Linked DNA regions of Alligator mississippiensis. The main gene of each other region encodes a partner of the protein of the gene in region 2 in a complex. Links are inferred from orthologs where the notes say so. Each region holds a gene or a part of one and is shown on either strand. Other genes may lie near its edges. The genes, in order: TPX2, AURKA and TACC3.

The links.
Region 1: the proteins of AURKA (region 2) and TPX2 are in contact, whole or in part, in a crystal structure (PDB 3HA6), measured with the Homo sapiens proteins. The link is inferred for Alligator mississippiensis from reciprocal best matches to the Homo sapiens genes AURKA and TPX2. Residues at the interface, in NP_001310232.1 of Homo sapiens: Lys125, Arg126, Gln127, Trp128, Asp132, Glu152, Gln154, Ser155, Phe157, Leu159, Lys166, Glu170, Gly173, Glu175, Leu178, Arg179, Val182, Glu183, Ile184, Ser186, His187, Leu188, Arg189, Tyr197, Gly198, Tyr199, His201, Val206, Tyr246, Ser249; in NP_036244.2 of Homo sapiens: Gln3, Lys5, Ser6, Ser7, Tyr8, Ser9, Tyr10, Asp11, Ala12, Pro13, Ser14, Asp15, Phe16, Ile17, Phe19, Ser20, Ile31, Asp32, Trp34, Phe35, Glu36, Lys38, Ala39.
Region 3: the proteins of AURKA (region 2) and TACC3 are in contact, whole or in part, in a crystal structure (PDB 5ODT), measured with the Homo sapiens proteins. The link is inferred for Alligator mississippiensis from reciprocal best matches to the Homo sapiens genes AURKA and TACC3. Residues at the interface, in NP_001310232.1 of Homo sapiens: Leu130, Phe133, Glu134, Ile135, Gly136, Arg137, Tyr148, Leu149, Ala150, Arg151, Ile158, Val163, Arg205, Tyr207; in NP_001428248.1 of Homo sapiens: Glu523, Ser524, Phe525, Arg526, Pro528, Val531, Leu532, Gly533.

Annotation. Positions count from the first base shown.
Region 1 is NC_081832.1:1,643,985-1,651,440, forward strand, and holds the start of TPX2 (targeting protein for Xklp2), read right to left. Parts: upstream 3,200-7,456; 5' UTR 3,109-3,199; intron 1-3,108. Other genes in the region: BCL2L1 (bcl-2-like protein 1), read left to right, coding at 6,096-6,647. UniProt on the Homo sapiens protein: Spindle assembly factor required for normal assembly of mitotic spindles. Required for normal assembly of microtubules during apoptosis. Required for chromatin and/or kinetochore dependent microtubule nucleation.
Region 2 is NC_081832.1:9,930,628-9,938,779, reverse strand, and holds the start of AURKA (aurora kinase A), read right to left. Parts: upstream 3,433-8,152; 5' UTR 3,387-3,432; exon of another isoform or gene 3,342-3,386; intron 3,042-3,341; 5' UTR 3,037-3,041; coding exon 2,983-3,036; intron 2,609-2,982; coding exon 2,326-2,608; intron 1,849-2,325; coding exon 1,794-1,848; intron 1,499-1,793; coding exon 1,307-1,498; intron 1-1,306. Other genes in the region: CSTF1 (cleavage stimulation factor subunit 1), read left to right, coding at 4,262-4,381, 5,290-5,466, 6,184-6,379. UniProt on the Homo sapiens protein: Mitotic serine/threonine kinase that contributes to the regulation of cell cycle progression.
Region 3 is NC_081825.1:17,675,174-17,682,535, forward strand, and holds the start of TACC3 (transforming acidic coiled-coil-containing protein 3), read left to right. Parts: upstream 1-4,310; 5' UTR 4,311-4,413; intron 4,414-7,362. Other genes in the region: TMEM129 (E3 ubiquitin-protein ligase TM129), read right to left, coding at 121-325. UniProt on the Homo sapiens protein: Plays a role in the microtubule-dependent coupling of the nucleus and the centrosome. Involved in the processes that regulate centrosome-mediated interkinetic nuclear migration (INM) of neural progenitors.

The DNA.
Region 1 (7,456 bases), about 8.3 Mb from region 2:
TGAACCATATCCCCAGAGGCAGTGCAATGCAGTCCCACAACTCATTATCCCAATGCAGGAGCTGCAAACACGCACCATGCTTTGGTCAAACTGATTTACTAGCAGTAGCTCAAAGTTGCAGAAAGTAGGTTCAGATTGCACATTGGGAGAAACTTCTTCACAGTTGGGAGAAAGACTGTGGAGTGGACTAACTGCCTAGGAAGGTCTTGCAGAATCTCCATCCTTGGAGGCTTTCAAGAGGCTGGAGAAGCTATGCCAGGAGTGCGCTCTAAAGAGCAAATTTGGAAGACCAGGAACCCTGGTTGGGGTATCGCGAGAAGGGCTCTGCAGTCCAGAGCATATGGGTACTGGAGAAGACCAGCGAGCCAAGAGCCTCTTCCCTTCCACTTCGGTTCAGCTATTTGTATACAGGTGTCTACTGGGGAAGGGAGGAGGCTCTCTGTTCGCTAGCAAGAGAATGAAGCAGAACTCCAGAACGGGCTTAGCGATAAAAATTGATAGAGCTGGAATAAGTTTATGGAGAAGACGGGGTCATGGAAAGGAGAGTTCTAGCTGCAACATGTGTGGGGTTTGCTGTCCCCAGTTGCTGAGCAGAGTGGATGGGGGTGTTTTCTCCAGGCTTCTGGGCTTTGCTGGTTGCCACACAGGGCCAGGAAGGATTATTTTTCCTTTCCCCCCTGTCCTGTGTTGGGCAGGGACTGCCTTCCTCAGCCACACTGGATGCTGGCTACAGTAGTAGGACACTGGCAGTGCATTACCTGTGGCAAATTACAGTTTGGGGGCAATATACCTTGTAGTTTTGTGACAGGGTTGTTTGTGTAATTTTAAGAACAAGCTAGGCAAGCACTTGTCTAGGTTGGGTCAGAAAGAGATGATCCTGCCTTGAGCAGTAGACGACATCCTGAGGACCTTTCCAATCTATTTTTCTAGGATTCCATGACTTGCACAGAAACATTTGGGGGAAAAGTGCCCAACAAGATTCTTTGCATTGCCACACTGCCCAAGAGCAGAGACAGAACAACAGCATTTCAAAGCTTCACCCTGAAATTGCTGCTTAAAAGGAGCATTAGTATCGTGCTTTCAGGGCAATTTGACAAGTCATTCTGGAGACTCACATTCCTCCTAACCACTAAATATTCATTCCTACCCAGCTGTAAGGTATACTTTTAAGATACTTAAAGGTAAAAAACAAACAAACAAACAACCCAAAACAAAACCATTGCCAATGATTTAATTTTTAAGACTATTTTAAGGACTCAGTTCTCCCCACCTTGCAGCTCCCAGTCTGATTTATTCCTGTGTAGAGCAGTTGAAAACAGTAGCAAATCAGAACAGTTACTCAATCACAAGATTACACAGTCACACACAAAAGCCAAAACAAAGCCAGATGGCTCAATTATAACAACTGCATTAATGTCCTGTTTTGCAGGCAGCAAGAATTTCAGATGGTAGCGCACAATCACCACTGCGAATTTACAGAATCACAGAACTCAAATGGTAAATTAAGGACCATTACTTAATGGCTTGCTTTATTCTTCTAATTCTTGTTTGGAAGACTAGGTGCTACACCAGTTAAAACAGATCATACTTCATGCCAAATGGGAAGTATGCATTCACAACAAAAAAAAAGCACAAAAAGTCACAAATAGTAACTTTTGAGCATGACTGTTCTTATATTGTTCTTTATATAATATACTAAGAATATACCTGTTCTCTAAAGCAGCATTTTCAAAATATAGGGCAAGCACCCTGAAAAGTTCCTGGAAGGCAGGACCAGAGTTTAACAGAAAGCAAACAAACAAGCAAAATATGACTCGACAGCACTGAACAAAAACTGTCAGCTAAAGGTGATGGTAAGGAGAGAAGTGGCCAGCTTTGCTGTAATGCAGCATGGACCCCAGAAGTTTGGGAAATGCTGCTCTACAGAAGTCCTACCGTAGTGGACACCAGTGCAGGTCTATAAGGGATGCCACTCAATGGACTCCATGAGGATGAAGAACCCCCGATCTTGGTTACACCCGTCTCCATCACCTCTCTCTAGCCTACAGCAACACAGTACACCTGGCAGGAAGCCATCAGCTCTTAGGAACTCCAGCCAGCAAAGAACAGGTTTCTCCTTGTCATGAAGGCCTATGTGAACACACCCATCCTGCCCTGCCCTTTCTGCATTGGCTTCCCGGGGTAGAGCAGTGCCAGGCTCACCATCACAGCTGTTCAACAGTGGAGTTGTTAGCTGTGTGCTCTAGGTGATCTTTAGATGTGCCACAACTCCTCTGCTTGGAGTTTCTCACCAATAGGGTCCAGCACACTCATGCAGGACACAGCACTCCCCCAGGACCCAACTGAAGGGTAGGCAGATGTGTCCAGAACCAAGGCCCACTCCAAGCCCCCTGTCCTTCTCCCCATTTGTGTCTACAGTGACCACTGACTCTCCCTATGCCTGAAGGAGGATATTGGTACCCAAAAGCTTACAAAGAACATTTTTTCCAGCTATTTAGTTGTTCTAAGGAAAGATATCGCATGTACCCAAAGAACTTTGTTTTTCAGTCCCCATACAGACACCATGCAGCTTACACACTAGAAACCAAAGCAGTCCTACCCTGCCACTGCATTGCACACGCTTCACCCTGGGGCCAGGGGGAGGAGAGAAAAGCAGAGCAGCCCATGACACACGTTGCTCAGAGAATGCCAAAGTGAGCAGGGCACCAGGGCAAATGCACAGCACCTTGATGCACCCTGGGGTAAGGCCAGAAAGGGGATGGGTACAGATTATGGTGGGGTGGGGGGAGGGGGGGTCCTGCAGCTCCCTGCCACCCAGGCCAGGAAGGGGATGGGTGAAGATTATGGTGGTCTGGGGGGGGGGGGGGGGGGGGGGAGGGCAGTTCTGCAGCCTCCTGAGCCTGACCGAGCGTCTCTACCCCTCCCTTTCTCCCCTCCCCACCCAACAGCATAAGAAGGACGCGGGCCCTTTAACACCAACCCGCCCATTCCCCAGTGCAGCCGAGAGGGGGCGCCAAAGCCCTACGCTCTGACGTAGCCAACGTCCTGCACATGCTCACTGGGTCAACAACGCCCCCACCCCCTTCTTGCGCATGCGCCACTACTCACCCTCCTACCCCGCCCCGGAGTGGCGCATGCGCCCTCGGGGCCCCAAGCCGGCACGGCCCTCGCGCATGCGCACTCCCCTCCCTCAGCCGCTGAGGAGAGCGGCTGCCGCTGAACGGGCGATGGAGACGGCGGCTGGGGGCCGCTGAGGCGGCTCGGGGCCCTGAGGGGCGGCCGTAGCGCCCGCTTCCGCCGGGGGAGGGAAGGGGTAGGGGCTGGGCCCTTCAACGGCCTTTCAGGTGAGGGCGGCGTGACGGACACGGAGGGCAGCCAATGGGAGCGCGCCGTCCGCGGGTCCCCGCCCCCCCGGCCGCCTCCCTGCCTGGGATTGGTGCGGAGGCGGGGCACAGTAGTTCCCCAGCCACGCGAACGGGGATGTCAACCCCAGCAGGACCCCCTGGCTGGTTGCCATGGAGACTGGGGGGGGCGCCCCCTGGGCACCCACACCAGGCCACGGTGCCCTCTCCTTCCAGCGTGTGGCGGCCGTGGGCTGTCCTCGTAGCCTCCGCTCCGGGACAAGTCTGCGCCACGGGCGGCTCACGAAACCCCCGACTCACCCTCCTGGGTGGGCAGCGGAGGGCGCCGCGAAACCCCGGCTCGCGCAATGCGAAAGGGCCCCACAGCGCGGGCGCTTCGCACCGTCTTCGGACACCTGAACGTCGCTCCACGAAGAGCGGACTGGAGCCCGACTCCCTTGGAGGTCGCGTCTCCGCCTGCACCCGAGGGACGCCGCAGAGCCCCAGGGAAACTCCGCCGTCTCGGTCCCCGGTGGGAACGTCCCAGCAGGGGAAGCGAGAGCAAGGCTGAGCTGGCACGGTTTCAGCGGGTGTTGGGAAATCCCACCTGGGCTGACAGAGGTCGAAAAATCTCTCAAGATTCCCCTATACGAATAGCCGAACCAACTGCATGGTCTTTTAAGGCAAGCCTTAGTTTTGTATCTGCCACCCTGGCGCTGCGGTGAGGAGCCTTCCAGGGGTGCCCTAGAGAGGGAGAAGCGCTGGCATGTATTGAGTTCCTCCCAACATCTGCCCTTTAGCAGAGATGAGTAGGGAGGGACTTGGAGAGGGTGGGGGCGGGGCTTGTGCCTTGGGGGCGGGGAAGGGAGTAGGCTCTCTGTGTCAAATTACTAATTTGAAGTGTCTCTGCAGCTGGTCCAGGAGGCGCAGCCTGCTGAGATTTCCCAGCCCAGAGTTTTCTCCCTGCAGCTCCTCTCTGGGGGTGAGTACAGAAACACACATGCTCCTTCCCCAGCACGAATCCAGAGAGCCTGTGTGTCTGTCCCTGGTGCACCCGGAAAGGGCGAGGTGGGGCCACCCGGCGTGTCCTCTGCCCCCAGGCCTGAGCATGGGGTGGAAATGGGGCAGAGAGCAGCTGCTTCCAGTGCAAACACAGAAGTGAGGACAATCCTGTAAACAAGGAGTGCTGAGATGCAGGCAAAGCCAGTGCAGAGGCTGCCGGTCCAGTGCATGCTCTGTGGGGAGGGAGCTCTTAGCTCTGAAACAGTAAGGTTTGTTAATAATCTGGTTCCAGAAAAATGACTGCTTAGAATAACATTAGGGGTAAGTCACTTCTCCACTACAGAGAGTGTCTGTGGTGTACTGGGAAAAGAACGTATCTAGGACACACTTCCTCAGGGGCATTTCTGCTCCTCTCTTATGCCAGCGTAAGTCTCTGGAATGCTGGGGTTTCCCTCAAAATGCTGCTGGGCGTTAGATCTTGTCTTTCCTTATCTGTGAGTGTACATGTTCCTCCTCCTACTGACCTATTAACTATGTAGGTAAGTAATACTCTGTAGATTAATAGGCTTCTAGTTTTTCCCAACTTCTTAGGAGCACTACAGCTCTTTTGTGTTCCTTCCTTTGCCACTGTTCTTGAGAGGAGAGGTTTGGGGAGTGAGCCTGTAGCTCCTGGGATCCCACTGAAATGCAAGGGGTCCATTGTAACACTTCCCGAGGTCTGGCCAGAGGAACTGCGTACCTTCAGCACACCTGGGAGCTGGTGAAACTTGACCCGGGGCTAATCCTTTCCAGAAGGGAAAATGGAAAATGATGCTTTAAGCTTCAAACAAACTCCCTTGTGCTGGCTGCCAGCTGCTATTGTTTCAGAGCCTCCTTCATTGTTGGGAAGAGCTTTATGATAGGTGTAAGAGGGGGCCTCATTGTTCTTTTAATGTGCCATTGTTGGTCAATAGAGCACAAGCACATATTTTGAAGGCCTCACCCAGTGCTGGTCCCTTTAAAAAATTCAGGAAGAGCTTTGATCCTCTATGGGAGGCGGAGACCGAGGGGGCGTGAGGCTGAGAGGGAAGGAGGGAGGGCCTTTTGCTTCTCTGCTGCAGAGCTGCAGCACTCAATCAAGGTAATGGAGGAATAGGCAGAGGGTGAGATCCTGGGGCTTCAGGGCCTCGCTGTGCTTTCGTGTTTCCAGCATGCAGCATGGCATGATCACTTCAGCCAGAGCTGCTTTTCCTTCTGAGGCTTTGCCTGAGACAAGGCAGAGCTGGAGGCTGGAGACTGAGCCTCCTAGACCTTTAGCAGAGGGGGTAGACCCCCTAGACCCTATGTGGAGCTACATCACAAAGGAGCTCTCAAGCTGTACCTGGACCATGTAAGGCGGCTGAATGGGATGTGTTGCGCATGCATGCGACTTGCAGTCGTTTGTAAAGCAAATCCAAGGGGGCTTAGCCTAGTTGTTGCTGAAATGGATGTTTTGCTGCCAGTTTTCTGGGCGACTAAATCCTGAAGCCTGAGGTGTAGCTTCAAGGATGCTTGCTTTCTCTGAGCAGTAAGAAGCTGCTGTTGTTAATGCTACAAGTGGAAGTAAAATGCTGCATTGCTAATATGTTCTTGCCTCTTTTTCTTCCCTGCTCTCTAATTGTCTGCTCAGAGGTCAGATGCTTGCACAGATCCTGGAGAAAAGGAGAGTCTGGACTGGGTAAGCACACTGGTGTTCTGGACCATGGACTCGATGAGAATCTCCCTAGTGTGAAAATGTCGAGCAGCAACCGGGAATTAGTGATTGACTTTATATCCTACAAGCTGTCACAGCGAGGACACAGCTGGAGTCAGCTTGAGGGGCAGGATGAGACCAGGACTGAGTTTGCAGGAGAGGAGGACATGGCAAGTGTCCCGAACGGGAGTCCGTCCTGGCATCCCGCTGCCAGCCACGTAGTGAATGGGGCTGCTGGACACAGGAACAACCTGGAAGCCCAGGAGAGTGTTCCGGCGGCTGAAGTGCGGCAGGCGCTAAGGGAGGCGGGAGACGAGTTTGAGCTGAGGTACCGCAGGGCCTTCAGTGACCTCACATCCCAGCTCCACATCACCCCTGGCACAGCATACCAGAGCTTCGAGCAGGTGGTGAATGAACTGTTCCGGGATGGAGTGAACTGGGGGCGCATCGTGGCCTTTTTCTCCTTCGGAGGGGCCTTGTGTGTGGAGAGCGTCGACAAGGAAATGCAGGTGCTGGTTGGACGTATTGTCTCGTGGATGACCACCTACCTGACCGACCACCTCGACCCCTGGATCCAGGAGAACGGCGGTTGGGTAAGAAGCTCCTTCTCCAAGGGAGAGCTCCCCATTCTCCTCTGCCTTGCTAACAGCATTGCACATCCTAGCCCTTGTCCCTGGTGCCCAGGGTGGAACAACTGGTGCAGGGCCTTTCCCATTGTGTTCTTTGCTATGAAGGGTCACTCCATTGTGGTGGAGCAAGGGGATGCTACCCAGGCTTGCCCTCTGGTGGGCCCTTTTCATCCCGCTGTCTTGCCTATCTCCTTGGCCATTCTGTACAAAGGCCTGTTTCCCAGAGCCTTGTGCACCTACAATCCAGGCTTTGTCTGAAACAGAAGGCCCATCTCTTAGGTCTGACCTGGAGTGTCCGTGACCCAGCCCAGGGCTGAGCCAATTCTTTGTTCAGTTGGGACCTCTTAGTGCTAGGCCTGGACTGTTTGGTGTGGTGAGGTCTGAGGCAATGGAAACGGGAATCCCTGGTCTGCTTCATTTGCAAGTGAAGTGTGCTAGAGATTGTCCTGCTTCCTGTGGGCCTCTGCATTACCTGGCAGCCTGGCCCTAGATCAGCAGAGCGTTGCAAGGTAGCACTGAAGTGCAGAGTCAGTGCAAACAGCCTGCTGCTGCCCGCTGGATCCTGAGCAGTGTACGCAGGGTGCTGTCCACAGGCTTGTATGAATGTTACTGCGTGTTCCAGAGACATGCTCTGGTAGCGTCTGGGCTGCCTGAGTTGTGGAAGTGCTTAGGCCTGTGAGATTTTGCTGTGGAATTTTGCCAGGGGGAGGTATTATGGTCTGCGGATGATCTTGCTCACTATTTACTCCCACGTCCCTGTGATGTTGCCTGTA
Region 2 (8,152 bases):
TTGTCATTCCATATCCCCCACTCAGGCCTCAAGCTTACACAAGACATCAGCTTACAACACACTCATGTAAATAAAGAGGTTTTACCTGTTACCTTTAAAGATTCTTTAAAATTCTCCAATGAGACATTTAAGTGCATTTTTGCCTAGCTTCAATATTTTCTCTAGGGTGTGTGGGTGTGTTGTTATTTTCTTGGGGGGACAGGGGGTTCCCCACACTTCAAGAAGGTGGGACCCCTACCCACCCTCCAAGCTGTACAGCAGGGGTTGACATCATTTTTGGCTGGAGTGGCAAAAACACCCCAACCCGGACCCCACACCTCAACTTGGCATGCCAGGGACGGACCACAGGGGAGCCGGTCCTCTGCCGACAGCAGCTGCATGCATGCCTCTGGGCAGATGGTGGGGGAGGGGTATAGGGCAGCACAACCCCAGCCTCTCTCCTGCCATCTGCCCAGAGGCACACAAGCAGCCAAGAGCTCTGGAGCCTTATGGAGCCATCTAAAGCCTCACCCCCCAGCTGCCTGCCACAGCCAGCTTGGGTTTCAGGCAGCTGCTACCAGCCGTGGAGCCCAGGGTGCTTGCAACATGGCTTGCAGCTTCCCAGCTGTCTGCTTCAAGTGGCCCATGGCAGCTGCCCAGAGCCTGGGGCCAGCTGTGATGTACCAAGCAAAATGGCCTCGCATGCCATACTCTGGCATGCATGCTGGGGGTTGTAGAGGGTCTTAGGATGTTATTGCTAAAGATACTTTTCATTTTTTAAATTGGTGTTCTCCCTTATATCCAGGTTTATTCAATAGGAGAGATGCCATTTGGAAACACTGCCAATGACAAAGTCTGTTCTTCCTCAGCATGTATAGAATTGAAGCATTTTCAAGTACAAAATAATTCACTGCATTATGCCAGCCATTATCTCACACTGTCACTTTGCCTAGCAAGTCAGAAGCCAGAATCCAGTAAGGTTAGTTTAAGAGAAAGTTGGAGTTGCATCCTCTCTGTTGTATCCTTTATACAACAGGATATAAAGACTTCCCCCCAAACCGTAGTTCTTTCAAATTACTTCCTTAAACATGTTTTGTGTAAAGTCCACTGTAACTTAAAAATAGATGCAATTTTAAGGGATTGCCATGGCAGAGTATAAAAGCATAAAGACTCCTGTTACATGTAGACGAGTTCAAACTTTGTGTTAAGGTGATAGAATTCAGGAGGCAATAAGTTCAGCTGCTTATCTTGCTTGAAACAACATATCTTTAACTACAATTCTAATAAGTTGGGGGGGAGGGGGTTTGTTGGTTTGTTTGTTTTTTACCTAAGATGAGACTGTATTTCTACTTCCCTCCTCAGCTGATGCTCTACTCCAGCTTCCTCCAGCTGAGATTTAAACAGCACCTTCAGTGCCAGAATAAATTTGCTTTGTTTTTCACGAGCCAGATATACATTTCCAAACTTCCCTTTTCCCAGAGGGCGGCCGATTTCAAAGTCATCAAGAGACCACTGCCTCCTAAGAGAGGAAAAAAAAAAATATAGTTAAACTGCTAGAATACAAAAGGCCTGGAACTCTTTTTTTTTGTATAAATGTCCATGGAGTTATTCTGGGTTAAGATTTGTATCAATTTAACCAAGATCAAGATCTGGCCTCAAAATCCAATATATTTAAACTGCAGAATACTTTTTCTACACTATTTATCCTTAAATGCTAAGAGTGAAATTCTAACCCAGTTATCACTGACAAGCATTTTAGACTTCTGGGTCTAGGTTCCCAGTTAACACACAAAAATACTAGGAATGCAACTTACTTTTTAGTCTCTTGATTTTTCGGTTTAGAAGTACCTTCTTTTTCAGGCTGGTTTGCTGCATACAAAAAGTTTCAACACCTTAATTAATCAAACCCACAAAACACAACTGCTACAACTGTCAGCTTTTACCATGCTTTTTCTAGATTCCAAGTTTTGGGTAGAATGATACTTCTATTATTATAATATTATATCTATCAGCAAGGTACCTTACCATCTGTGGCTGTTAAATTTTAGTCACTATTCTGTTATGGGGACAAGCAGGTAGCACCCTGCTAGTTGGCCAATGTTATTAATCCAGAAATAATTCTGTGTAGGTTCATACTACCCAACATTTCAACCATCTTCCTATGTGAATGTGATCCTCTTATATGGAAGAAAGTCAGGATGTAAGATAAGTTACACAAACCTGATCTATAGAAAATAAGGGTCAGGTCTGTTAATTTGCTGCAGTCAACCAGTTTAATGATCAATCTTTGAAAGTCTCCTGGGTGTCATGTCAAGATGAGATAGATGTGTAAATGAATCTATTTACCAGATACTGGGACATGATGAGGCTTTTCATTATTATTTGGAGCTTGAGGCCTAGAAGATGTTTGAACTACACATGTCGGCTGAGGCTGCTGCATCCGCTGATTATGAGACAGTTTCTGATTAGACGCTGCAGTCTTTGGAGCTTGTGATGGTACAGGAACTCGCTGAGCCAAGTTTGAAGGACACAAGACACGTTGTGCTTGGGCTGCGCCTCCAGGGACTCGACTCTGAGGAAGCTGAGAGACGGGGACTCGTTTTGGGCCATCCCCAACGTGGGCTGGAATCTAAACAGACACACAAGACAAGGCAGAAGCACTAATTATTGTACTGTAACTCATGAAGTTCATTTTCCACCCTCGCACAACCTAATTTAGCTGCATTTCTCCCCATTAGCCTACCAATGGAAAGTAAAAATTTAAATCGATCTGAAGTGGGGACAGTACCACATTCTCAGACTGTTTTAAGAACAACATAGGCCTCCATAACAGAGCTATTAACACCTCTGCTACGCATTACGTACATTATGCTGCCCGGCCTCATACACAGGCAGGGCGAACACTTGGAGAAGGCAGGGGGGCCTTCTGTCGAGATGACCAGAAGGGGTTATCGCAAACAAGGACCAGGATGAACTGGTGGAGCAAAGAACAAGGCCTTTTACCTTGACACCATGTGTGGGCAGGCCGGGGCGGTTCTCTTTCCGGGTTCTGTCCATGCTGCCTGAAAAAAGAGAGAGTTCAAATACAAGCCAGCCTGGCCTGGAGGCTCAGATCAACCTCTCCAGCAGGTCCATCTGCCCCTCCCCCCTCCAGACCCATCTGCCCCCTCTCTCCAGGCCCATCAGCCCCTCCCCTCCCCACCACTCCAGGACCCCTGCCCCCCCACTCTCTCCAGGCCCATCTGCCCCTCCACCCCCCACTCCAGGACCATATTTCCCTGCCCTCCTCCTCTCTCCAGGACCATCTGCCCCCCACACGCGGGGATCCCAGGAGCCCTCCCAATACCCCCATCGGCCCTCACCACCACCGCCCCACACCCCACCGCGAGCGCTGTTTGAATTCAAACCTCCCTCCCCGTAACAGCCTTTAAAACCGCCGCTGCTCCCTATTGGCCCGCTTCCCACCACGCTGGCGCTCTGATTGGCTCCTGCTCCACCCTCCCCGCCCGCCCATTGGCTCACGACTGCTCCCGCCCCCTCCCGTCGCTCTCAGGCCGCGGGTCTCCAGAGCGCCTGCGCGGTAGCGTGAGCCGCTTCCAGCCCCTAGGGCGGTGCCGACGCAACGTGCGTAGGTGACGTGCCGCCCCTCGGCCGCTTTTCCCCCCCACCCCCGGCGCGCGCCAACTGCGTAGATCGGCGAGACAGTTACGTCGGTTTTTCCGCCAGTTCTCGGCCTCGGTTGGTCTCTCCTTACGCAAGTCGCGTAAGCCCAGACCACCCACCCGTGGCAGCGATGGAAGTGCCATCCCCGCCGCCCGCCGCCCCGTGAGGCCGCGGGGCGGGCAGTTAGCGGGGCAGGAAGTGCCTCAGGTCAGTCCTGCCCCCTGGCTGGGAGGCGGCAGCCCCCGGCTCCTGGCAGCGGGGGGTGGGGGGGGCTGCGCTGCCCCCTCAGGGGAGGCAGGAGGGCACCGGGCCCGGGCTGCACAGGCCGCACGGGGCAGCTGTGCCGCAGGCCGGCGTTGAGCGCTCGGGCGCAGCCGTGATACATACGAGCACCACGAGGACGTCCGGAGGCCCAGCCGCAGCGTCGCCCGCTCGACGCCTCCCGCCTGCGGGCACCCGCGAGTGGCTCCGGGTCCCACCGGCCGCCATCGCCCGACGGTGAGCCCAGCCGAGCCGGCCCGGCGGAGCGAGAGCAGCCGCAGAGGTAGGTGGCGGCTGACAGCGCCGTCGCCCGACAGAGCGCGGGGAGGCGATCCCGGTGCCGGCAGCGAGCGCCAGGATGTCGGGCCGCCGCCTCGTCCCAGCCTGCGACAGACGCCCGCTGCCACGGGGCCTGGGGAACATGGGCTCCCCCCCCATCGACCCGCGGGCCCTGCGCCTGCCCTTCCTCGAGGCTGACGTGAGTACGGCTGTCCCTTGGGGCGGGCGGGCGGGGGGGGGTGCCCAGGAGGAGCCTGCCGCGCCTGAGACTTTGCTGCCCGGTTGAAGTGGGGAACCAACCGGCGCTGCCACGAAAATCGGCGGGAGCCCGCGCTTGCCCGCGGTGTCCGGCTGCGGCAGTGGCCTAGCACCAAGGGGGCATACCCCCAGGCGCCGGCTGGGCCCTCCGGGGGGTATTCGGTCCCCTGGCGGCACTTCCTGTTTCGCCACCGTTGTTTCTGGCCTCGGCGATCGGCCGCCTCCTCCCACTTGGCGATTGCCTGTGGACAGGCAGGTGCAAATGTAAGCATTGGTTCCTGGGTGCTGGAGACCCGTGCTACGCCAGTGGTTTGCACGGACGCGTGGCGGGACAGACCCCGTACAGGAGCACCTGGCAGTGACGGCCCTAGGGGAGGGCAAATGGGGTGACTGCACTTTAGGGGACGCCTAGAAGTTTGCAACCAATGTCTGTGCTTACAGGTCATCCACATTTAAGCCTCCAAGGGGCCCCAGACGACCCGCTGGCCTGCGGCCCCAACACCCTTAAGGCCACCATTGCACCCAGGCTGCTCCCTGAGACCCCACCTGCCCACAGCTGGGATCTGAACCCACTACCCTCAGGCCTGGGCTGCCCAGTCCCCCACTTGCTGCCTGCCCAGGAGCCACAGCAGCCTCTGCTGCCCTTCATTCATCTCCACCAGACTCCCTTCACCCGCAGGGATCACGAGACCCCTCTGCCCATGCTGCCCCCACCCCCCAGGATCGGGCCCGCGTGTTGGACGTGCTGGGGGAGCCCATGGACGGGTCACGTGGCTGCCGGGCGCGGCGGGGTGCGCGCATGCGCGTTGACGCGGCTGTCCCTTCCCTTCCCTCCCTGCCTCCCTCCAGGGCCGGCTCCCATCGATGTGCGGGCGCTCGATGCAGCTGCCTTCGCGGCGGAGCCTCCTGCGCTCTCGGCTGCTGCTGCCGCCGCCGCCTCCCCCGCCGCCGGCGCCTCCCATCGATGTGCTCAGGGCTCCGGGCGCCATTTTAGGCGGAGAGCGAGGGAGGCCGAAGGAAGGGTCGGTAGGTACCGGCGGGCGGGGCTGCGCGTGTCTTGTCCCTCCCCGGCCCGGCTCGGCCGCGCTGCCCCGGGAGCCGCTGGGTGCGGCCGCTGCCGCCCTGGCGGGCGGGTTTTCTTTCCCCGCCCTCCTGTGCCGCGAGTCCCCCACGCCCCCTTCCCGCCCGCGCGGGCCACGGCGCCCCGGCCGGCTTCTCCCTCCGCTCCTGGCCCCGCGCCCGTCTCGTCCGCGGAGCGGGGTCCTGCCGGCACCGCGGCTGCAGACGGCGCCGCTGCCGCTCTCCTGGCCCTTGGCCTTTGTCAGCCTCGCATCGCAGCCCCACGCATGCTGGTGGCCAGCGCGCTCCTCCGCTGTCACTGCCGTCGGGAACGACTTTGTCATCTCTTCTGGCACCTTGGTTTTTGGCCTCCACTTCGGGTTGCAAACTGAGCAACTCTTCCCCCCCCCTCCCCCCAGTACATATAAGACCTTTTTTGCCCTCTACTTTTGATTGCAAGCTGAACATGTCTCCCTCTTCCCCCCAGTATATATAATACCTTTTTTGCCCTCTACTTTTGATCGCAAGCTGAAAATCCCACCCCCCCATGCAATACCTTTTTAATTGACTTTATCTCCATTAAGGAACTTTGGAAAATGACATGCGGTTCACTTTTCTATGAAAGGCAACGCCAGTTCAGTCCAATTTTATTTTGTGATTTTTTTTTTTTTATCTTTGTTTCAGGCCCCTGCAAGGCAGTCCTTGCTCGCAATGTATAGAACAAAAGTGAGCTTGAAAGATCGTCAGCAATTGTATAAACTGATTATTAGTCAGCTGCTGTATGATGGATACATAAACATTGCCAATGGCCTGATAAATGAGATAAAACCACAGTCAGTCTGTGCACCCTCTGAGCAGCTGCTGCACTTAATTAAACTAGGTAAGCTGTAAATTTTAATGTCAATAAATGAGGAATTTTGAAATTCAACTTTGCTTACAGTGCAGGTACACAGTGGTCTCAGTCTCTCATGCAAAAATCACTCTTAATGATGCTCTGTTGTTAGTGTCATGGATGGCATTGATCCTGCTTTGATTTAGGGTTTAGATTGGATGATTTTCCAGTGTCCTTCTATCCCTACGTTTCTCTGGTTCTGCTGTGGATAGGAAATATTAAATGCAGGGCTTTCAAAAGCAGTTTGGTCTTTTGCCACATACAAGAATGCTTATCCAGTACCCTGAATGTTTTGAAAGCCTTCAGGATCATAATACATGGGTTCATTGAATGTACCAGATCAAAGCAAAGCATGTGGTAATAAAGGTCATAGAAACTGACATAACCAGTTCCATATGAACAACATAAGCTGTACTCAGCCCACATCTCCTTGCAGAGAGTGGACAAACCATGTGTCCTGTTGTGTTTTGAAGGCTGGAAATGTAAACTGCTTTAAGGATTTTGGAAGACAGTGGGATCCAAAGGTCCAAGGCCACAAAAGAGGCAGCCCTGCCACTCCCTCTCTAATGACATACCTGCACCTAGACTACAGCATAGCATCAAAACAGCTGAACTATTCACATCCTAAAAGCAGCTTAGCCATAGCAGCATGGAGTTCCACATTGGTTAATTTACTGCAAAATGATTAACTGCGCCGTTACATCAGTCCGATATCGGATTAGAACTGATATAAAGAAAACTGGCTGTATTGGAAATCGGCTCAATGTGGCCAATAATTTGGCCAATAAGTGCTCATGTATGTGCATAGCCGCAACGCAGCACTCAGGCAGTGAGGAGCAGAGCTGCTCGCAGCTGGTAAGTCTGATGTGGTAGAAGGGGCTTTGGGGGGGCAGATCAATGTCCCCATGTGTGTGTCCATCCGTCCGTCCCCAACATGGTGAGGGAGGGGGCAGATGGGGCACGGGCCAAAGCCACAGCTCCTCGTGGTGGGGGGGAGGAGGGGATTGTTCCTGCCACTGCTTGCACCCCAGGAAGGCATGTGCCCCCGGATCTGTGCAGGGCAGGTGAGCTGTAGCTGCAGGCTCTTCTCCATGTGAGCTGGGCTCGGGGGTGGCTACAGAGGAGGGTAGCGTCCCATGCTCTGCCCTGGCTGGGCAGCACTTGGCCTTGCCCCCCCTCTCACCATGGTGGGGTGTTGATATTCCCCCGCCCTTTTCCTCCCCTCTACCACAATGGACTTACCAGCTGTATCAGAAATTGGATTGATATCAGCTGATACGCCTCCTTAATTTTAGCTATTGGTATCTGCCCAAAAAGTCTCTATCGGTGCATCCCTAGTTAACGGATTGAACTTCATCTTGTATACCTTGTGCTATATGTCACAGGAAGTATGTCTTGAGGAAGGGCAGGTAGGTCCTAAGTCACTTAGCGTCTGCTGGAATAGGGGCATTGCATACCCTAATGTTGCTTATCAGGTCAGCATTCAAATCTGCTATAGTACAGCCTGTTTGACTGGACAATACACAGTGTGACTGTACAGCATAAACTTCATGTTTGGCAGCAGACATTAAGCAATATCTGCATTGGAGTATGCAGCATAACAGAATTTTTTTTTATAGAGATTGTGCTGTAGTAGGATCTAGAAGTCTCAACAAGGCAGTGACCATATTTTAAAAATAGCTTTGATCGAAAGACTTTACCATTTTAATAAGCTAAGCAAAAAAGTCAGAGGTGAAAAAAAACTAGGAAAGAGAGAGTAAC
Region 3 (7,362 bases), on a different chromosome or scaffold from region 2:
TACTTCCACGACTGTCATAATGCCGTGGCATTAGTTTGCAGCACTGGGAAACCAGCGCCCACGTGCTGCCCCCCTCAGCAGCCCCCGGGCCCTCCCGTCCCGTCCCCGCGCGGGGCGCACCGAGCGGCAGCAGGGCGTGGGCGAGCAGGGTGCCGGTGCTGCGGCGCAGGTGGTGCTGCACGAAGGCCGCGTCCTCGCTGCCCAGCCAGGCGCCCAGCAGCCCCTGCACCGTCAGCCCGGCCGCGCGGAACTCGTGCGGCGGGAACACGAAGCACACAGACAGCACCACGTAGGCCAGCGTGAAGGTCACCGCCGGGCTCTCCATGGCGCCGAGCCCCGCGCCCCCGCCCCGCGCCGCGCCGCGCCGCTGCCTGGGAGCCGTAGTCCGGCACCGCCCCCAGCAGCCCCGCCCGGCGCGCGCCCCGTCACCAAAGCCCCGGGCTCTGCGTGGGGCGGGGTTTGCACCGGTGCACGCACGCGTGGATGTTAGCATGCACACGTGCACGCACATAGCACACATTAGCATGCACATGCACACATACAGACACATTAGCATGCGCACACATACGCAGCATACACAGACATATTAGCATGCACACGCACACATGCAGGCACATTAGCATGCATACACATACACACACAGCATACACAGACATATTAGCACGCACACACGCACGCAGAGTACTCATGCAGATGCACACATAAGCACGCACACACGCTCGCACACAGCACACACATAACCACGCACATGCACACACGCATTAGCATGCACACACACACACACACAGCATACACAGGCATTAGCATGCACATGCGCACACATAGTACACACATAACCACACACATGCAGACACACATTAGCATGCACATGCACACACAGTACACACATAACCACACACACGCAGACACATATTAGCATGCACACACAGCACACACACAACCACACACATGAGCATGCACACACAGAGCATACACAGACACGTTAGCATGCACATGCATACACATAGTACACACATAACCACACAATGCAGATACACATTAGCATGCACATGCACACACAGCACACATGCAGGCACATGTACATGCACACACACAGCACACATGCAGACGCACATTAGCATGCACACAGAGCACACATGCAGACATATGCATGCACATGCACACACAACACACATGCATACATACAAGCCAGCACATGCACACATACATGTGCAGGCACACAAAAGTATGCACATGTACACACACATAGCATACCAACACACACATAAGCATGGACATGCACATGCATAGTGCACACACACATTAGCACACACATGCACACAGACATAAGCATGCACATACATGCATACATAAATGCATGTACACACACATGCACACAGACTTGCACAAATGCATGCACAAACATACCTACACACATACACACACACATGTATCAACTATGTATGAACTATGCACACATCTGTCACAAAAAATTAAGTGGGGAGAGGATAGAAAAAAAAAAGGGGGGGAGAGGAAGATGCAGGGTAGGAGAAGAAAAGGGAAATGTGCCCGGACCATTTGGGGTCAGGAAAGAACTTAACCCCTGGTCAGATGGGGACCAACTGGGGTGCAGAGGCCCTCTACCCCGGTGTCTTGAGCCTGTATTGACAACATTTCATAGAAGCAGGATGTTGGTGCTGTGGTTTCCCTGCATTATGCGTGGCAGATTCGGGTGTCACGTCTGTGTGGGTGGGCATCCTGAGTAGAGTTTAGATCAGGGTTAGGCAACCCCCAGCATGGGTACTGGAGTGTGGCATTTTGCAAAGGCATTTTGCTTGGCACATGCACTCGGGGCAGATGGTGGGGAAGGGACCAGGGCAGGATTGGACCCCTCATGGCTCCCCTGCCATCTGCTCCTGTCACACCAACATCTTACAAGTTGAGGTTGTGGGTGTTTTTAGCACTCTGCCGAAAAACGGTGCCAACGCCTGGTTTAGATTATGGATTGCGTGGGATGTTTGGATAGGGCTGATCCTGTCTCAGGAAAGGGGATGCACTAGATGACCTCTGGACGTCCCTTCTAGCCCTTGTTCCTTGAGTGTGGCTACTGGTCATAAAAATAACAGCAGAAATTAGGGTTTTTTTGTCTTCAACAGCGCTGGGCACACAGCCTGCACTTCAGGATAAACAGCCATAATCTGAGGCTTCCTATTAAAGAGGAAAACTGCATCACCCTAGAGGACAGAGAGCATCTCATGGGGCCCTAACTTGTCATGAATTAAAAATTAACAACAAATGGACAGAGAGTAAAACCACAAACACTCTAGGGATCTGCATCTTGGCAGATGGCTGAAACATTGCAAATGGAGGACAGATTTCTTGGTTCTTTGTACACTTTACTAACGCTTCATGTGCCTGTTTTTGCCAATAAAGTCATATTTAAACCAAAATAGTGTGGATCTTGCAAAGGAGGTTGCAGCATTTCATTGTAGGGCACTTCAGCCTAAGAGATTTAATTGTTTCTATAGTTGTAGCACGGTCTCTGGCTAATGCAGCCGCCTTCCTGACTCAAGAGCTGGAGCGCAGCAAGTTTCACAGTAAATCTGCAATTAAAACAGACTAAGAGCAGCAGGTTTTTAACTTGTGATTTGCTTGCAGAGGTTATTAGGGAAGAATAATGACAGTGCAGTGATAGCATTGGAGTGATGAGTCTATAAGTAATATTTGTAAGAGGCAAGATCATGATTTGGAAAATGACGTTACATTAAAACAATATTTTGTATTGCTTGAGACAGAAAGCTATGGGGCACGTCCAGCACCCTACAGGAAACATTGCAGCATTTTGTCTCTAGTGGGTTATGGAATAGAGAAAATCCCACACAATTTACTGATTCGTTTTGATGCACTGGCTGGGGAAGTATTGATTGCACGATTTCACAATGATTACACACTTAATTCATACAACACAATTTTATTTTAAAATTCTTTGCTACGCATATAACACTGCTTAGCTTTAAGAAATACCACAAAAATTAAGAACACAATAATTACATATATCAGAAACAATGCTCCGAATGCGCTTCCTTCTCAAACAATGCTTTAAGAATTAGTATTACAAAAACAACTACAATTACAACTAAAAGTTACACTTGAATCAATACTATTATTTGCATAATATACTTACAATCCTAGAATTCCGAGAAGCCAAACACCTAAATATGGTTTCATTCCTCAGTAGTACAATTTAATGGGCTGGCCTCAGCAGTACGATTCAATGGGCTGGCCACAGCAGTACGGTTCAATGGGCTCGCCTCAGCAATACAATTCAATGGGCTGGCCTCAATACTGATAGGACTAAGTCCCCTTCTTTCAGTCCCTTTCGGGCGCTCTGCAGCTTCAGCGTGAACTAAGAGATTCGTGTTCACGGAGAGGGTGGTTCAGGTGATCAGTCTGATCCGGTCTACGCTTGCGATTCTTCCTTCATTGTTCTGCAAGTATAGTCACCTCCAATTTGGGAGAGTAAGTTACGGTTTTTATTGAGTGAGTTACCGTCCTGGGCCACTCCTACTCAAACCTGTCATTACCCCCAAATTTGGGCTCAGATCTTACTCAACAGATTCTTTTGCTTGGTAATCAGTTTCTTTCTTGAAAATTCTAATGACTTTGGGGAACTTCCATATCACTGCAAGTGACCTTTTCTTTCCAATCTTTTCGAAAAGGCCCTAGGGTTAGATCTCTCCGCACTCAGGATATTTGCTTTAAGGATCATTTTCAGGTTCTCTTTGTTAAAGACTTCTAAAGATAAAATTCAAGAGTTAAAACTTTAAGCAAAGTCTGGATCTTCTACACGTAGTCCAAAACAATGACCTAGATAAGGAGATAAATCTTATCTTCTTTCTGAAACTGGCTAATGGGCAACCATTACAAACATTCAAACTAGTTCATTCAATATGACACATTTGTCTTTGGAAGAAAGCAGAAAAAAATTATTTATATTAAATCAAGCAGGTTTTTTTCGTCTTTAATTCTCTAGTAATGTTAGCCTCTCATTGCTTTCCCCGAGATCACGTGGTTCAGGACCTCGTTCTGCTCCTCCAGGGTTAACTCTCACTCCTGGAAGAAGAGCAGGGCAGTGGCCTTAGCCCCGCGAACTACATTTCCCAGCGTGCTTCACGCAGCACCCCACCCCCTGGTTGCTTCCAGCATCCGGAACATCTTTATTGGTTGAGTGCTCGGCTGTCCCGCCCTTCTACCTTTCTCTGATTGGTCCATTCAGACAGGCATCACCACGGCCTTTCGCAGCTCCTGCCCTTTCATTGGCGAGAGCGGCGCCGTTGAAATTTGAAATCCGGCGGCGGCGCGCGGGGCTGAGGTGGAGGTAGAGGTGGACTGTGGGCTCGGGCACCCGGCCGGGCAGGGCCGCTCGGCAGGCAGGTAGGGCCGGGTCAGGGCTCGCATGCACGGGCAAGTTCCCCCTTGCACACGTGCTCTTGCACACTCGCACACAAAGCCACACGCACGCCCCCCCTTATTGTACACGCGCACGCAAGGACACGCACATTCCCCTGTCTTGCACACTCTTCCTCTTGCACACGGGCACACAAAGACACATGCACACTCGCCCTTGCATATGCACACACAAAGATACGCGAACCCCCCCTTGCACATGTACTCTTTCACTCTCCCTCGCAAGGACACACACACTTCTGCCTTTTGCACACTATCAACTCTATATGAACTATGCACAAGTCTGTCACAAAAGTGAATAAAGGGGTGGAGGAGGGCAGTGTGCCAGGGCTGTTTGTGGTGAGGAAGGGATGTCTCCCCCGTGAGATGCAGGGGGACGTTGCCTTCCTCTGTAGTGGGGCCTGCCTCGGGCAAGGGCCGGTCGAGATAACCCCTGGAGGTCCCGTCCAGCCCGACTTCTGTCTGACTTCTATGACTAATATTTTAATTAGCAAAATAATCTAAGGGTTCTCTCTAAATTGCATAAACTTTTCAAAACGGTTAAGCGTGCTGGATGTGATCCCATAGGTGCTGACTGCTGCTCGTCCTACCTGATTTCCACCCTTGGGCTAAGGACAGAAGTTACACGTGAACCAGTTTAAGTCATCAAAAACGGGTTTAAACCTCTAACGGAACAGAAGTTCAATGCACATCAACCCGTTTCAAAACGTCTGGAACTGGTTTAAGATAAACCGGGTTGAATGTAGTATCAGACTTAGCTGGTTTGGGTCAAACCAGTTTATGAAACTTCTGTCCCAGGCGCCTGAGATGTCCTTCTCAAATGCTGTAGTGTATTTGGTCACCATGTTGGCTTGAGACAAAAAGAAATGCAAAAAATCCAGAACTGTTGCTTCTGAGATGATGCCTTTTATTAAACCAACCGAGAAATTGCAAAAAAAAAATCTTTTTTTCAGCAAGCTTTTGGGCTCACATGCCCTTCATCAGGCTCAGGGAAAGTTAAAGATGGTAAAAAGTCCCCATCGGTAGGAAATCAACTTCATTTTTGCACAGGGGAGGCTGAAGCTAGAAATCTGTCCCTCTGGGTCCATGAGAGTGTCTTTGGGATGTGCTCTTTGTTGTGCAAATCACAACAAAGTAGAGGGGTATCAGACATGTCCCATGGGCCAGATAGCAATTTTCCCCAATTCTCACTTCAATGGGACATATCCCTACAGTGACAGCCACGGTGAGTGAGACCCCCAGCACAGCCCTGTGGCTCGTTCCTCCTCACCCAGTGGCAGCCAAGCACCGAGGATGTTGATCCCCTTCCTGCCAGGTCCCAGACCAGCAGGAGCAGGGGTCATGTGCCCTGGATCTGGCAAGGAGCGTGGGGATGGGGAAATGGCGCTGATCCAGCCCTTGGGGCCAGAAGAATTTGATATCCCTGTTGTAATACAATCCCGTGTGTCACTAATAACTGAATCCTTGCAGCAGGCCTTGCATTCATTGGGGATTTACAGACTGCCCGTTTGCCAAGGGTATCAGCGCTGCATTTGAAACCATGTTGGCTGTAGTTAGTTTTCTTTCCAAATACTAAGTTTTTCTATGCAAAATGTGATCTGAGTTGTATTGGACATCAAGAAATATTGTCAAAAACTCTGTGTTTCACTCGTGTTTCCAGGACCATCCCAGCTACAGGACCACTCCAATGCTACTTTGAGACTTTCTGTGGTGTTGTGCATGAGCCCTATGTCGCTCTCATTAGGTTTTAAGCATTAGTTAGGGTTTAGACTGCACATGACTAAAGGTCTAAACATTGGTCACAAAGGCAGACTAAGACTAAAATGTCAGCAATACTTGTATGCTGTTTGTTGCCCAGATAACTGGATTAGTAGTACTGGAGTACAATAATCCCATTCGTGTCTGCTGCAAACTCATTGCAAACCTTAAGCATTCAGGATTTGTGTGTGGCTTTGTCTGTTGTTTCCTAGACAGTCTCCTTCGTCTCAGGGCACCCATTGGAAAAGGCCAGCTCTTGGTTGTTACTTGTTTTTTGACTACAGAGAAATAATAGAGTCATTCTTTGGTTGTAAAGAAGTTGGAAAGACCACAACAGAAGAGAGTGCTTTTAATACTATGGGTTCCTATTTGAAATTTTAGACAAGGTTCTTTGGGTGAATTTATCTTGACTCGGGCTTGCACGCCGAGCAGTGATTACATTGTGTGGCACCCTTGAAAAGATCTCAAGGCAACCCAGGGTGCTGCAACATTGGCCTAAACTGTCAAACCTGAAGCGGGGTCTAGTATTTCAACTGGGCCTCTTCTAGCTTCAGATTGGGTGCATGCACTTGATCTGAAAAACTTGAGCTGACTGCCTGTTCAAGAGCATCACTAGAAAGCAATCCCAGACTGGTACTTGTACTTAACTATCCCGTGCTCAAACCCAACACAAATGGTGAAGTTTTGTATACATTGTACAGAAAGCTCAGTGATGGCTTTCACAGCCTTAGCTCTATCCCATTCTACACCCAATTATGCAGTAATATCACAAGTATAACAGGAGCATAATTGTATAAATAGACCATAGAATAGCACTTACAGCCATTATCTAATGTATGCAGGTAAGATCTTACTCAAATGTTGAATTAAAGTAATTTGCTATCTTCAGCGCTGCTGGAATTCCACTGACCATGTCTGTAATTCAGCTAGACTTCCTCTGGCAAATTGAAAGGCCAGTAGCAGTTAAACTGTTATTTTAATGATTCAAAATACAACAAAAGAGTCTAGCGAAGGGCTACAAAAATGGTTAGCAGGCTAGGGCACATGATTTATGAGGACAGGCTGAGGGAACTGGGCTTATTTAGTTTAGAGAAGAGAAGACACATACAGGGATTTGATTGCAGCCTTCAACTACCTGGAGGGCAGTTTTAAAAGAGG